Callithrix jacchus: one gene and its partners. The protein of the gene in region 1 binds, or shares a complex with, the protein of each later gene. Links are inferred from orthologs where the notes say so. Each region holds a gene or a part of one and is shown on either strand. Other genes may lie near its edges. The genes, in order: TAF3, TBP and TAF9.

What was found.
Region 2: TAF3 (region 1) and TBP share a complex: the UniProt entries of both Homo sapiens proteins name them as parts of the TFIID basal transcription factor complex. The link is inferred for Callithrix jacchus from reciprocal best matches to the Homo sapiens genes TAF3 and TBP.
Region 3: TAF3 (region 1) and TAF9 share a complex: the UniProt entries of both Homo sapiens proteins name them as parts of the TFIID basal transcription factor complex. The link is inferred for Callithrix jacchus from reciprocal best matches to the Homo sapiens genes TAF3 and TAF9.

Annotation. Positions count from the first base shown.
Region 1 is NC_133508.1:6,117,371-6,122,703, reverse strand, and holds the start of TAF3 (transcription initiation factor TFIID subunit 3), read left to right. Parts: upstream 1-1,670; 5' UTR 1,671-1,875; coding exon 1,876-2,041; intron 2,042-2,534; exon of another isoform or gene 2,535-2,628; coding exon of another isoform or gene 2,629-2,722; intron 2,723-5,333. UniProt on the Homo sapiens protein: The TFIID basal transcription factor complex plays a major role in the initiation of RNA polymerase II (Pol II)-dependent transcription.
Region 2 is NC_133505.1:177,177,136-177,182,317, reverse strand, and holds the start of TBP (TATA-box-binding protein), read right to left. Parts: upstream 3,140-5,182; 5' UTR 3,045-3,139; intron 2,891-3,044; exon of another isoform or gene 2,524-2,890; intron 648-2,523; exon of another isoform or gene 645-647; 5' UTR 497-644; coding exon 443-496; intron 1-442. Other genes in the region: PSMB1 (proteasome subunit beta type-1), read left to right, coding at 4,172-4,284. UniProt on the Homo sapiens protein: The TFIID basal transcription factor complex plays a major role in the initiation of RNA polymerase II (Pol II)-dependent transcription.
Region 3 is NC_133503.1:140,123,773-140,128,905, reverse strand, and holds the start of TAF9 (transcription initiation factor TFIID subunit 9), read right to left. Parts: upstream 3,682-5,133; 5' UTR 3,612-3,681; exon of another isoform or gene 3,445-3,611; coding exon of another isoform or gene 3,195-3,444; intron 1,530-3,194; exon of another isoform or gene 1,455-1,529; intron 937-1,454; coding exon of another isoform or gene 844-936; intron 98-843; 5' UTR 81-97; coding exon 1-80. Other genes in the region: AK6 (adenylate kinase isoenzyme 6), read right to left, coding at 844-936, 3,195-3,444; cell cycle checkpoint protein RAD17, read left to right, coding at 4,800-4,809, 5,096-5,133. UniProt on the Homo sapiens protein: The TFIID basal transcription factor complex plays a major role in the initiation of RNA polymerase II (Pol II)-dependent transcription.

The DNA of each region.
Region 1 (5,333 bases):
GTGTAGATATGTGAGGGAATGTTCTTGTTTTGGGGTGATCCAAGTTGAGGTGTGGTGAGGTTAAATGTTATGAAGTTTGCAGCTTACTTTCGAACTGCTGGAAAAAAACTTGTGTGCATATATAAAGACACAAGATAGAGTAAATGTGGCAAAATGTTAACAATTGGCGAATCTAGATGAAGTGTATACCTGAGTCTGTGATTTTGTTTCAACTTCTCTGTAGGTTTGAAATTTTTGGAAATAAAATCCCCTCCCCTATACACAGAAAGGCAAGTGAAGAGGAACAAACATCCAGGTGGTGGTGGCAGAGAGACAGATGTGTGAAATCCAAGGCCCAAAAGAGTTTGAAAGTTATGGTAGTGTTCAACATTATCAAATGGCTACAAAATAATCAAGTAAGGCTAGGACTGAAAAATGTCTCACAGATTTAGCAACAAAATGTTGCTGATAACTTGGGGACAGAGTGTCCATGAAGTAAATACGGGCACCTTGCCATATAGTACCTTGCTTCTCTGCAGATCGCCATTTAACTGAAGAACCATAATTTCACTCCTACTGCGTTTCCCAGACTTTCGAAAATTTGAGTATCATGTTCAAAGTTCTGGAATAGTCCCTGGAGGAGGAACATAGAGCCACTGATAAACTCTTATACTAAATACACTGTGATAGGTACAGAAAGGCATATTTAAGAAACCACATAGTTCAGCCACTACAATCGAGCTATCGGCAGGCTGAATCTAGACTTGCGGTGGGATCAGTTTGGTTTTTGAGATGTGTTCCCAATTCTGAATTTAAAAGTCAAGGTATTTATCCCCAAATCCCGATTTCTGGCAATATTTGGCTGGAGCTGGGAGGAGGCTCTGGGATAGGCAACCGTTCCCAGGACACTCAGCCTGAGATACGGGTTTGAGGCTCTGGTTTGACCTCTGGAGGTAGCCGAGGTCCCCATCCCCCTACAGGCCACAGCCGCGATACGCAAATCGCACACTACAGCCCACAGGGAGCTCACCTGGTTTGAAAAAAAAAAACGTTTTATTGCAACCATGGCTGGGATTAGAATGACATGAGTGAGGCAGGAGTTTATGGCATGGGTTTGGATTTTTAAAAAAACTATTAAAATATTATCCATCTTGATGACTGAGTTTTCTGGGGGGCCCATTAATTTGGCACAGAGGCCTCCTCCTAGTCCCCGCCCTACTGCGAAGGGCTTTAAAGGGCATGCGGAACAGCTTGGGCTTTATTTAATCTGTGCAGTGGCAAGCAGCTCAGTACACAGATTTTTAGCAGAAGTAAGACCAGCGCAGGTCTGCGTTTGGCGAGCATCTTAAATTCCCACGCCCCAAACTTCTCTCTAGCACTTAACCCTCTAACATGACTAACGTTATTAATGCTAACTCTCTAACATGTCAATGTCGTATCCCAGATCCCTCGTTTGCCCCTAAAACACGGGCGTTTTTGTCCCCGCTCTCCCCCCAGGTGAGCGCCCCTGGGAAGCACCCCAGCACCTGTCACCCATGGCGCCTCCTCCACCTGCGCTCCGCAATCCCGCTTCCGGCCGGCTTCCAGGCCTCAGAGACGATCCCGAGGCGTCGCTCCGCTCCCACGGGGCGGAGCTTTCTCATCGGCGCGCTCGGCATTCGGCTCGTGCTGCCTCGCTCCGGCGGCCGTCCAGCGAGAGGCGGAGCGAGTCCAAAATGGCGGCTCTCAGGCTGGCGCGCTCCGCGCTGCTGGGGCTTTGAGGTGGTCGCCGGGGGTCCGTGGGACCATTATCCCGCCGCCGAAGCCCTAGAGGATGAATCGGGGGCCCTGCTAAGGTCTGGCGGCGGGGCTGGAGAGCAGTGGCAGCAAGGGCTGCGGTGGCGTCCACGCAGCGGGATGTGCGAGAGTTACTCCAGGTCGTTGTTGAGGGTCTCGGTGGCGCAGATCTGCCAGGCGCTGGGCTGGGACTCGGTGCAGCTCAGCGCCTGCCACCTCCTCACGGACGTGCTGCAGCGCTATCTGCAGCAGCTGGGCCGGGGCTGCCATCGGTACTCTGAGCTCTGTGAGTACCGGGCTGGGTTCGGGAGGGCTGCCCCGGCAAGTCAAGGGTGACACCTCCGCTCTCCCTGCCCCTCCGCGTCTCCGGTGTGTGCGTCCCGCACCCTGCCTCGAGATCTGCTGTCTCCTCGGCCTCCCACGTCCCTGGGCTTCCACTGACCCTGCAAACTCTAGTCATCCCTGGGGTGCCTCTTCCTCATCCGCTAACTTCCCGCCACCAGCCCGGGAGCCGAGTCTTCGCTCCCAGCTCCACACCCTCCTGCAGCTCCTCCGCTCTGAAATGTGCCTGGATCTCTCTCATTGTCTCCTGTTTGCTGCGGGCAGATCCACCCCCAGCGTGCCTTACACCCTCTTTTACCTCGGTCCTTTTTCTCCCTTGCCCGCAAACTACTACAACTAGTTGTCACAGGCGCTCCGTCTACCGGCCGTTTCTTACAAGACTGGCCATTCCTGAGCTCCTAACTACACAGACTCGTTGACAGCTCTGCTCCGTTAGGGACACTGCCTCTTCTTTCTGTGTCTGTTCGTTTCGTGAACAACATCTCCACTTTCTGTTTTCCCAAGGCTGACTTTGTCAGTTTCGCTGATCAGATGCACTTTCACTTAACGTCTCAGTTACCGGTGAGATGTCAGTGGTTATCAAAGCGGGATAGAGGGACCATGGGCAGTTGGCGAGATTCTCCAGGTAATCTGGGCTACAGTACTACTTAAAACCTGTACAGTACAGTACGGGTTTTAAGTGAATGTCTGGTAATATCTATAGCTAGTGGTATTTAATAATTTAATGGAAGAAATGGTATTTTAATAGAAGCTACACGTTATCTTGTTGATGTGAAGCATTGCATGTGTGTTTGTTGAGGAGAGGAAACTACCACTCACTGAAGTTTCAAGTCATGATGTTTAAGGTGATAAGCTGGAGAACTGAATGAAGTGTTTCATAGGATACTTTGTTTTGTTAAAGTGGTTCCTAGACTGAAAAATGGAGACCCACAGACATGTTGTATCGCTTAGGCCCCGAGTTTCATTCCTGCTTCCACAGGGCTGCCAAAATAATCTGTCCACAACACAAATCTGATTTTGTCATTATTCTTAAAAACATTTTAACTGTATTCTATTGGTTACAGGCTAAAAATCTAAACTGTTAACAGCACACATTTCCCTTTGTGAGCTAGCATCTTGCTTATCTTTTGCCAGCCTGCCATGCTAATCTGGAGCCATGCTGAGCTACTTGCCTTTTCCAGAATGTTTTAGGCTATCCATTTCTACGTGCATGCTGTTTTCTACTTAGAGTGTCCTTTGCCCTGGCCCAGTAGTACTGCTTTTATTTTGAGATGTACTTATCACTTGCTCTAGGGACCTCATGTTATCTGCTTTCATAATTCTGTGCATATTTCTTTCATTTGTCATCTTGTTTTGTAATCACCTGTGTATGTCTCTTTCACCTCTCAGGAGAAAAATTGATTATATTTGTATTCTGTAACCTGTGGGGCCATTCTATAATAGCTACCTGAGAAATATTTGTTGAGTGAATGAATGAACTGATAAACCACTACCATAAGAGCCACATATTGACTTCACATTTTGAGTTCCAAAAATGTGTATGCTTTGAGTGCTTGATTTCACTGAGACTTCTATTCTTCTTCTTTTGAGACAGGATCTCACTCTGTCCCCCAGCGTGGAGTGCAGTGGTGCGATCTTAGCTCTCTATGGCCTCGAACTTCGGGGCTCAAGTGATCCTCCTGCCTCAGCCTTCCAAGTAGCTGGGACCACAGGGACATGCCTCCATGCCCAGCTAATTTTTTTATTTTTTGTAGATATGTGGTCTGGTTATATTGCCCAGGCTGGTGTCAAACTCCTCAGCTCAAGTGATCCTCCTGCCTCAGTGTGTCAAAGTGCTTGGATTACAGGCCTGAACCATGCCTAACTCACTGATACATATAAATTTGGAACTGCAAAGTAATATGCATGCATTTTTATCTTGAAAGTACATCAGCAGCTGACTACTCTCCTAGCTTTTGTTTCTTTTTCCTCTGGCCTGCTCTGCCATGGTCCTTGAGTGTACTGTTAACTGATAGGCTGGGCGAGGCGTAGTTCAGATTATGTTTGCTACCAAGTTCTCTACATAGGGACAGATGTTCTGTATCTTTAGACATTCAAAATGTCTCCTGAATACAGAGTTACCTTTCTTGCCTTTTATACAGAAGGGAGCTGGCACTCCATGTGACTAAGTATTCCATAGTCATCAAGGGGTCATTGCAGCTCTTCATTGTAAACCTTGTTCCTAATTACCTAATTTCCGTAGCCAGTTTCTTGGTTTCAGTGAGAATGAGATTGTCAACTTCATTATTCCCCATGATGATTTGGTGACTTTTTTTTGAATGCTAATTTTGGTATACTTATTAGATATTTTTAGATTCGTTTTTCTATACCAGCCTTATTCTAAAATCAAATTCTATAGCTCCAGGTTACCACTATGCAGTTTTGTATTCTACTCCTTTACGTCCTTTCTGTCGTTTTAACAAACACTTACTGAGCACCACTTAGGAACCAACCCCTGTGCTAGGCATTGGAGACATAAAATTACTGAGATGCAGTCCCTGCCCGTAAGGTGTGTTCAAGAGTGCCAGAATGTCAGTAAAAACAAACTGATGTGGCTGTTTCTGCTAGAAGAAATGTTCACGAGTGAAAGCAAGTATTAGAAGTTACCATTAATTCAACAATAATGAACTTTAGACTTGCCCTAAGGTAACAGTTTCTCCCAGCATTCAGGGGCGGATGTCTCTGTCTGTGTCACATTGCGTGTTAGACACGTGCGCATGCACTGAAAGCAGCTGCTCAGTCTTTCAGACTGGCTGTTCAACACTAGTGCCGTCATAGTTTTTGCATGGTACAGGGAGTAAATGTAAGAGGAGTAAGAGGAGAGATGCTTGTAGGCTATGGACTGGGGTAGGATTACTTCACAGAAAAGATAAGATTTGAGTTGAGCTATGACGTATGGCTGTGTAAGGGTATCAAGTATTCCAGGTTAGAGAATAGCAGACACTAAGCTGTCCAGGTGACGTTAAGCATAATCAAAATACCAGTAAGGTGATCAACTCCATATGCAGTCCACTCCAAGGGTGCCTGACAAAAATGTCAGCAGAGTGAAATCAGGTTATGGAGGGACTTAAAAGCTAGACAAGAGAATTAAAACATGTAGTAGAAAACATTGCATACTTGTAAGTCGGGGGCAGAGTATGATTGAAGTGGTATTTTAGGAAAATTCTATCGACAGTGATGTGGACAAGAGATTGAAG
Region 2 (5,182 bases), on another chromosome or scaffold:
TGCCCACCTTGGCCTCCCCAAAGTGCTGGAATTACAGGCGTGAGCCACCACTCCTAGCCAGAAAAATTATTAAAGTAGATGGGTGGTTGAGAGCTTGAAATGTAAAAAGGGAAAAATAAAACTAGAAAATAATTTGATGACGGTGATTTTCAAAATCAAAGAACCTATATAATCATTTGGAACATTCTCATAAGTGTTTACCAAAAGATTAATGTTTTATTAACAAATATTTAATTTAGCTTCCAAACAGACTCCCCAAATAAAACACTATTGTGCCAATTCAAAGCCTAATAGAAAGTTTCAACAAAATAAGGCTTAAAAATATATATAAAATCATTTTCAAAAACAGATCATTAAATACCCTTCCTTCCCTTTGATACCATCTCTTGAAGTACATATTTCTGCCCTCCCTGTTCTCATTCTCTTCCTCCTGCTGTATTACCTGAGGGGAGGCCAAGCCCTGAGCGTAAGGTGGCAGGCTGTTGTTCTGATCCATGATGTTCACTTCCTTCTTGGCAAACCAGAAACCCTTGGGCTGGAACTTGTCTCACCATTCAATTTTTTCCTAGCGCATCTCCAGCACACTCTTCTCAGCAACTTCCTCAATTCCTTGGGTTATCTTCACACACCAAGAGACAGTGATGCTGCTTTGGAAAAAAGCCTGAAGTTTAATGTAAGGATTCAGGTAACCTGTACAGTCCTATAAGCCAGTTCCATGGCTATACAAAACACAAACAAGAAAACCAATGAAGCTATTTTGGAATACATTGCCTTTTGCTTTATAATCCTGAAGTCTTATTCCTTCCATGTTTCCTGTGATTACATGTAAAATCGCCAACAAAAGTCATTTTGTTACGCATTTAAATACTATGATGATGCATCAAAAACTTTTGAGGAAAAATACTGAGAGGAAACTAATTCCTAAGCAAACTGTAATATCACAGCAGAGTATTCGTTAAGCACTGTATATACAGCACAGTTAAGCAAAGTTCAGATCTTTATTCCAATTTTATATCCTCTATAATGTCTTGGGCAAAAAATTAAGTAAATATACTTCAGTGATCAGTTATTGAGCTCCTACTATAATAAAACTAAAAAAAAAAGCTGCACAAAGATAAAACCCTGCATTTTTGTAAATAATAACCTTACCTCTTTAGAACACATTAATGCAAACCGTGCCTGTTATCTGGCTTTTCTTAAATCATCATCTCTTTACTCATGTCCATATCTGAAATGAGTTTATAATAACAACATATTCTCACCCAGAACTTCAGGTCTCAAAGTTACAAATTATATGTCCAAAGACCCTTCAGGCATATGCACTTCAAGCATGTGCTGGTACACAATAGACACTCAGATATTTGTGAAGGAATGAAAGATTCTGAGGATCGCTTTGAAAGGGCTAAGGCCCCCAGACTCTGTATCCTACCTACTCATCACTGAAAAAATGGCCAAAAAAGAAAGCAAGCGAACTCTGCTTCTGAAAATAAAAATATCAGAGATGTTTTTAAAATTATACTTTTTGACAGTTACCGTATAATAACAATAACAGAAGTGATGCAGATGAGGATGTAAAGATTAGGAGGTTATAGTCCTTGGCATCAAAATGTTCAATATAAAGGGTATGCAAATCATTACTATAAAACATAGTATAATAGCAGGTGTGCCCTAAGCTAAGTTTCTTTTTTTTTTTTTTTTTTTTTTTTTGAGACGGAGTTTCGCTCTTGTTACCCAGGCTGGAGTGCAATGGCACGATCTCGGCTCACCGCAACCTCCGCCTCCTGGGTTCAGGCAATTCTTCTGCCTCAGCCTCCTGAGTAGCTGGGATTACAGACACACGCCACCACGCCCAACTAACTTTTTGTATTTTTAGTAGAGACGGGGTTTCACCATGTTGACCAGGATGGTCTCGATCTCTTGACCTCGTGATTCACCCGCCTCGGCCTCCCAAAGTGCTGGGATTACAGGCGTGAGCCACCGCGCCCGGCCAGCTAAGTTTCTTGAATGTAGAAACCAGTCTTTGTCATCCCTGCATCTAGCACTATGCCTGGAATACAGTATGTGATCATGAATAAGTGCATATATGCCCCTGGAAGAGAAGACATATAGACTAACAGCACACTACTATGAAGAGGGGCAGTGTTTTCACAAAACAAGGACCATCTAACTTGGGTCTCACAAGGTGAATAGGAATTTACAGGTCAGGGCTTCAGATAAACGAGGTAACATTGAAAAAGCATGCCGTATGAAGGTGACAAGCTTAGTATGACTGTATAGGTCACTACAGGAGATGAGACGGCAAATATTGGTAGGCTCTTATCACTTTTTGCACGTAAGTCTACAGAAGAAACCGCACAGTGGTTACTGCACTTTCTCCCTAGAAAAGGGTTGTTTGCTGGGTCTCTTCATCTCTTCGAAATTGAAACATCAAATTCGATATTTTTTGGAGGCAATCTAACTCTGCATAGCCTTCTAGTGTCTGTATATCTAAATGAAGCATAGTCTTTTCACAGAAAAGCCTACCTAGAGATTTGGAAAACCATGATGGCCTGAACCGAGAGATGGGAGGCCCTGTAAACAAAGTGATGTGTACTGTATCTTAAGCGCTACTGTGTCCGCTGTCTCAGGCTTCTGACAAAGTATTTAAGTCTCAATGTTGGTAGCAAAATAGGCGGGCACAGACCACAGTGAATCTGCCTTCAAACATGGAGAAGAAGCGGGTGGCAGGCCAGGGCAGAATAAACTTCGGGTCTTCGATGCAAGGGATTGCCCTGTCCCGCCCGCCGCCGCCGAGCCCGCCAGTACCCTGCGCCCCACGCTCGTATGACGGGAAGCCGCTTGCGAACCACAGCGGAATAGGGCACCAGGCGAAAGCGGCGGCCGAGTGGCCGTTACAGGCCGGAACGGCGGCAGCACGAGCGGGAGGAACGTCCCCTGCAGGGCCTGCGCGCGCCAATTCCTTGTCTCTTCCCCACCATCGCCCCCAGGCCTCAATGCAGTGGTCGCCTCCGCCCGAACCCTCAGAAAAGAGGACAAGCTGTTACCTGGGTCACTGCAGAAATTACTATGAGCCCGCGGAAACGAAGTTAAACAGCCGGCGGCCCAGGCGCCCGCCACAGGAACCCTGCCCGACCCCACTGAACTCCAGGCGCGCGTTGATAATGTCACTTCCGCCAGTTCTGCCCTCGGCTTCAGCGAATTGTTCTCACTGGGGTCGTGGCCATGCGAAGTGTGGGCACTTGCTCACTTCCTGTGTTTCCGTAGGCGTGTAGTTTAAGGGAAGGAGGGGCGAAGCTCTTGAGGAGTTCCGGGACTGGGCGGGCGCACCACCGCTGTCTCTAATTGGCCCTTGCTGGGCATAGGAAAGATCAATTTTTAAATGGTGTGTGTGTTTCAAGCAACTAGAGGCGTTACCGTTGGCAAGTTCCCTGACTTCTTCCCCGCAGTTTCTTCTGTAAAATTTAATAATGATGATACTAGTGCTTAACTTTGGGCTCTCTGGAGACTGACAGTCAATGCCTGAGCAGTGCCTGGCACTCAGTAAGCGCGTGCTCCTTACCTGTCAGCAACAACGCTAGCTGATCTTCAAGCGTGTAGAATGACTAGGAACACTAAGCAAAACACAAGCCGCTTCAGGCACTGTGGTCAAAGGCTCGATCCGCAGTTGTTTCCTAGTGGGACGTCAGCACGCCTTTATTTTACCTTCTATAGTTCGTTTTGGCGGAATCATATATTATACCGCTTGTTTCCTTTGGACTTTCTATTATCAGTGAGGTTGTGAGCTCTTTAAGGATAGGAAATGTTACATACATTTTGTATTAGCCAGGACAATTTAGGCTGTTACTATTATTCCAGTTGCCGTTGCTCCACAGTTTTGGCAAATTTTTGCACGGTCAGACTTTTAAAATTTTGTCCATATGGGTGAATTCCAATCTTTTCTTCGGGGGAAAAACAAAAAACAAAAACCTTAATATCTTTCTGGTAATGGGCAGGACCCAACTATGAAAGGGACTAGCGGCAGAGCAGCCCTCCAGGAGCAACGACTAGTGCGAGATAGAGAGGCCGGGAGCGAGTTACAGGAAAGCCGGAAGTGGCGTAACGTCCGGTCAGGGCGGCCATCTCGCCGTGAGGCAGCAGGAGTAGCGGCCGGAGTTGCGGGCGCTTCAGTGAGATGTTGTCCTCTACAGCCATGTATTCGGGTCCTGGCAGAGAGCTGGGAATGGAGCCGCACAGAGCTGCGGGACCTCTGCAGCTACGATTTTCGCCCTACGCTTTCAACGGAGGGTAAAAACCCTTGAGAGCCGCAGCTTTCACTTTCGCCCTCCCCCCATCTGCTGAAGCCTATTTGGGGGTCACCGCCGCGAAGGCGCTGCCCAGATCCCCTGCAGGCCTCAGAACCCTGAGCTGAGTGGGTCCGCACAAGGCCGGTCTTCCTGCCGTCCTCTCTTGCGCTGTTTCCCCCTTTAGGCTCGCTTTGCTCTGGTTTACTTGGTGATTGCGATACAGCCTCGGTTTTTAGGGTTTCCCATTACCGCCTGGTTGGCTGGGTCTGTGCGGACCGCCACTCCATGCTCCTTGCTGCTGTAAGACGGTCGACAGCTTCCGCCCATATGGAAGACCTTTAAAACTATCTTAGCTTTTCGCAGAGTCTGAACACGTTTCTTAAGCCAGCAGGCGAGGACAGAGGTCTAGCGTCTGAAACTAAAAAGTTAGGATTGTTTGGTCTGTGTTGTTAGATGCATAGTTGTGTCGGTAGGGAACGTCTCATTGTAGCTGCCTGACTTCCGTTATCTCTAATTGTGCAGTTTAGTCATTGTCTTTTATTTCAAATAGAAGGTGGGATTGATTGAGCAAACAATTTCGTAGATAAGTGCTTTTTTTTTTTTTAACGTTCGGCTTAAGTTCAGGAAAAAAAAAATAGAAGATGGACCTTGTAATATGTGGGTTCTTGCATGTTCAAGTTTGGTTTTTATTTTAATTACCAGCTTTATTTTGAGTAATAAAATTTCCCGTGGTGGTACACCAGAGATTTAGAGTTACAGAAAGATGCTCTGTTTAAGAGTCTTGACAGGGAAGAGCTGTAAATTTAAGCAGTGGTTATAGTTATCAATTAAGCTTAGTATATTAAAATATAAACACTCAATTTAGAACAGATGGTTCTTTAAGAAAATCAAAAATATTG
Region 3 (5,133 bases), on another chromosome or scaffold:
CCCATATCCTTCAGGATTTGTGCCATCATCTGTGCATCTTTCGGCATGCTCTTGGGAGAAGCCATCTTGCCAGACTCCATGATATCCGATGATCAGACTTTAGATCATTTGAAAAAAATATGTACATTAGATCAATCTGAAATAGTTACTTTAGTAGCAACTGTCAGGAACTTAAAAATGTTTAAATCTATTAACATAGATTTAACTGTAAAAAATTTTAAAAAAATCAAACTATGTTTTCTCAATTTTAATGAGGCATACTTTAAGTCCCTTTACTTAAATTTATGGAGTTCCTACCATGTACAAATCATCATTGACTATAAAAAGATGAAGACACAAATAAGGGAGCAATAAAAGATTAGGGGAAAACAGGGTAAAATAAATAACATCTATCATCTTACAATATATGCAGTTGCATGCAAATCTCAAACTAATCTAAGATAGCATAGTCATGTCCTATGCCTGAACTCAAAATAATCTCCTTCCAGTGAGACCAATACACTCACTGTGCTCATATACATGTTTAGCAGTACCAAACCTTTGTTTGCTCAACTTAAAAACATTCTCCTTATTCACATTCTACCTATCCTAAATCCAGTCTCTTCATAGGAGCCTTCCCAACAATTCACAAGAATTGCTAGCCATTTTGAAGACAGAAGGGAAAATGGTCAAAATAACCAGGACATAGCATTAGACACTTAATATTTCTGTGGATTACCTAAGAGTATATATTCTTTAATGGCAAGCTGTTTTTTGTACCCTCTGACAATACCTAGCACTAACACTCCGCTATCAGACTTTAAAAAATAATAATAATAAATCTAACATCAAAGTGTCCCTTACCTTCTCGAGCTAAATCACCCACATTAATGTATTTCAGTCCTGATTTTGATGCAAGTTCTTTGCCTAGTGTGGTTTTTCCAACCCCTGGTGTACCTGTAAGATAAGCCACAGAAAAATATTGTTTGTGAAATACTACTCATCACACTGTAGCCCACCTTCTGCCCTTTTTTTTTTTTTTTTTTTTTGAGACAGAGTCTCCCCTGGTCTCTGCCCTTAAGGTTCTCAATGAATGAAATGAAAAATCTTCTAATTAGCAATCATATGTAAGTTTTTTTTTTTGAGATGGAGTTTCCTTCTTGTCACCCAGGCTGGAATGCAGTGGCAAAATCTCAACTCACTGCAACCTCCACCTCCCAGATTCAAGTGATTCTCCTGCCTCAGTCTCCTGAGTGGCTGGAATTACAGGCATCTGCCACCACACCCAGCTAATAATCTTTGAATTTTTAGAGACGAGGTTTCCCCATATTGGCCAGGCTGGTCTCGAACTCCTGACCTCAGGTGATCCGCCCACCTCAGCCTCCCAAAGTGCTGGAATTACAGGCATGAGCCACCTCAATATGTCTATGATCTAATAAAAATTTTCCAAAGCTAACTGAATGTCAAAATATTACCCAGTTATTGATCCTTCAAGGGTGAGGCTCAGCAGATTCTGTCGCAGATTCAAACTGCCTGCTACTACCATGGAACTGTTCAGAATAAAATTAACCACCTCAAATCAATTACAGTCATTTATTTACTTTTTTTTTTTAAAGACAAGATATCTCTTTGTTGCTCAGGTGGAGTGCAGTGGCACTTGGCTCACTGCAGCCTTAACCTCCCGGGCTCAAGCAATCCTCCCATCTCAGCATGTCCAGTTGACGAGGCCATAGTGTGTACCACCATGCCCTGGTTAATTTTTGTAGATGGGGTTTCGCTATGTTGCCTAGGCTGAGCTCAAGCAATCTGCCCACCTCCCTCTCCCAAAGTACTGGGATTACAGGCATGAGCCACCCATCCGGCATATTTGCTTTAATTTAAATAGATTAAGAAACTGTTCATAGCCAGGTGTGGTGGCTCATGCCTGTAATCCCAGCAATTTGGGAGGCCAAGGCAGGGGGATTGCTTAAGCTCAGGAGTTCGAGACCAGCCCCGGCAACATAATGAGACTGTCCCAAAACAAAAACAAAAACTGTTCATGTTAAAATGTAAGCAGTCTTACCCCTTGCACCCTTCCCTAGAGACAACCACTGTGAACCAGTTTCCCATACATGTATATCTTCCCAGAGAAACCCTATTTATGTTGCATATGAATGTACATGTATATACATACTTTGTATATACATACATAAATACAACATATATTCCCTTTTACATAAATGACAATACTACATACTATACATTGCTTCTTACCTTCCCCTTTTGATACCTATTATAATTACACTTCAAGATCAAATTTGTAATTTTCAGCTATTCAGGTTTAACATCCCTGAAATTAAACTTGAGCATAAAGATAACAGGGATAATCCAGTTCCCACACGGAAGAGATTAACAGTTACCTCAAGTCCACTATAATTCACCAAGTCTGAACCCTGGACTCAATTATGTTTTCAATAAAATGCTCACTTTAAAGTTTTGACAATGACACAATATTAATAACCAAGGCACTATGTTTGATCCATGCAAAAAGATGTGATATCTTCCACTTAAGAAATCTTAAATGCTAAACATTATTTGTGGCCTGGTTAATCGGCACCTCTCAGAAACAGACATGTCTTGTGCGCTGCAAATCATCTTATGTTTAGATGAACGCTGTAACTTTACTGCTTTATTTCCACCGACTCTTAATTTTTCGGTACGTTCCAATAAAATCTACATGCATTAGATTTTTCCACGAATGGTCTACAATTTAATAAACACTTTAAGGACTAAAATATTCGATGAAGTCGTTACGCAGCAGCATTTTAGTTCCTTCACCGGTAACACGCACCCTGAGTATGGCTTCAAAGACCCACTCCTACGCGAGAAACGACCCGAAATGCTCACTAGATTCCTCTCCTTTAAGGGGCTGGGGAGAACCTCTGATGTAACTCAACAAAGGCATACAGTAATTTAGTCACACCACAAACATCTAAAGTCATTTCCCGAAATCTGATCTGAGGAGCAAAGGAAAAAATAAAATATGGCCCAGGGAGGCCTAAGGAGTGAGGCCTCCACCATTAATGGCTCTACTGGAGAACAGATGTGACCTTACACTATTTCGCTAAAAATCCCAAAGCCAACCCTGCCAAAGAATCAACAACCCATTTTACACACAAAATACCAGATTCAGAAAGACTAAGCAGACTGCCAAGCAGGAGAGCTGATCTGCCGACCTCTCTCCTCCTCCCCCGGAAGTCTCGGGCCACCGGAATTAACGTTCCGCATCCCCTCCCCCACCTCCTGCCAAGCCCGTGAGGGTCGGCTCCCGGGGCGCTGCAGCCGCCTCGCGGCCCTCGGGAGGCCTCCAAACAGAACACTGAGCGGGGCCCGAGGCCCAGAGCACTCCGCAAACCTCGCCTGCCCCCTCCCAGCCCCTCCCGGCCGCGCGCCCTGACCGGTGAGCAGGATGTTCGGAAGCAACATGGTCCTCGCTGCAACTGCTCCGATCACCTCGCTCAAGCGCCCTTTGCACTACGGGGAGGAGCCGGAAGGGGCGGGCGGCAGTGAGAGCCCACGGGCCCCAAGGACCTCCAGGCCCACCGCGGCGTCCCCGGCCTGCCCCGGCGGCCCAGCTGCGGCCCACTAGTTACCTAGCTTTCCCTAACACGTTTCCATCGCAAAGTTGAAGGGTGGGCATAACTCGGGTCGGTGCTTCGGGTCAGGCAGTGCGCTGGATGCCTAAGTCACACACTCCGGCGGGCCCCGCCCTTCGGTTGCGTCGCGGATGCGCCGACCATTTTGAAAGGTCCCCGGGAGGCCGTACCTCAGAGAGGCCCGGATACGGCCAGGTGGCTACCCTTTCACTCGGGGTAGATCCTGTTCGCCTCCGCTCTTCGCCGAAAAGGGAATGCAGCTCCGGGAACGTAAGGCCGCCGCGGCTGCCGCTATAATATGTATATGTCTTAGAGACGCGAGTCTATCTTTGCCTTCAAGCCTTCTTGGGCTCTCGTCGCTCCTCCTCCTGACCCGCCCGTCCCATCTGGGGATGAGAAGATTGAGGGTGCAGAGCCCAGTCCTGCAGCGGGGATTTGCGAGCTCAACCCGGCACCCTACTGATTACAGGATTACGTTGGACGAATATTTGACCTTAGTATTCCCTGTTCACTGTGTGGGGTGGTGGTGGGTCGGCTAGGAATAGTCTTGAAGGTCTACCTCTGACATCTCATTTCAGGAATCTGGCATCTTCAGGGACAGTTACCTGCTTTTAAAAGGAGGTAATTGTCAATCTTGTTTTCAAAGAGTGAATAGAGTCCTGACGGTGACAACAGTCTGCATCTTTTATTTCGAGCTACAAACTATATTTACTCAAATGTTTTGTTTGTTTTTTTACCAACTGTGTACCATTTGAAACGTCAAAGTCTAACCGTGAACGATTTGGGACGAAAGGCCAGCAATTTGTTTTCTAGTACGTAGGGGTGTTTATAGGCGATGTGTGCTCCAAACTGTAAAATAGTTCAGTATACTTTCCAGTGTATAAATTTGTAGGCATTAAAATTCTCTTCTGGCTAACTTAAAATTGTTGAATTCACTAGTTTGCATAAAGGTTTAAGAATTTGAAAACACAATTGAAAAACAGTGTTACTAAGAAATTTTCTAATAACATGATCAAATGAAAACAGTTTTACAGTAAGATTTAAATTCTTTGTCCACAGCAAGTGAATTCATTGTATTTTATTTTTTGGGAAATGTTGGAAATGAAGAACTGCAACTGTAATTTGAAATAAGGAAAACTTTAATTTTCAGTATATAAACTACTCAAATAGAATTGCCTGATTTTAATGACAAAAGGTAAGTAGAACAGTTTGTGAATTTTTTTTTTCTGTTTTTCTCAAATACGTCATTGAGTTCATGTGAAAAACTCCGTTTGTAACACCACAAGTAGTTTATTTATCCAGTTATAGTCATTAAAAGTAAAATTATTTTAGAATTTTGATTTCCTGTATCACTTAAATTGACTGTTTTCACTAATTATTGAGCCTTTATTGTGTTGTTGATTGTATCAGTATACATTTATAACTATAATTCTGTATTTACAGTTCTTTTTCATTTGAGGGCTTCTTTTTTTTTCCCCTAGGTGAATTAGAGTTTAATGTATTACTGGTCCTATACTAC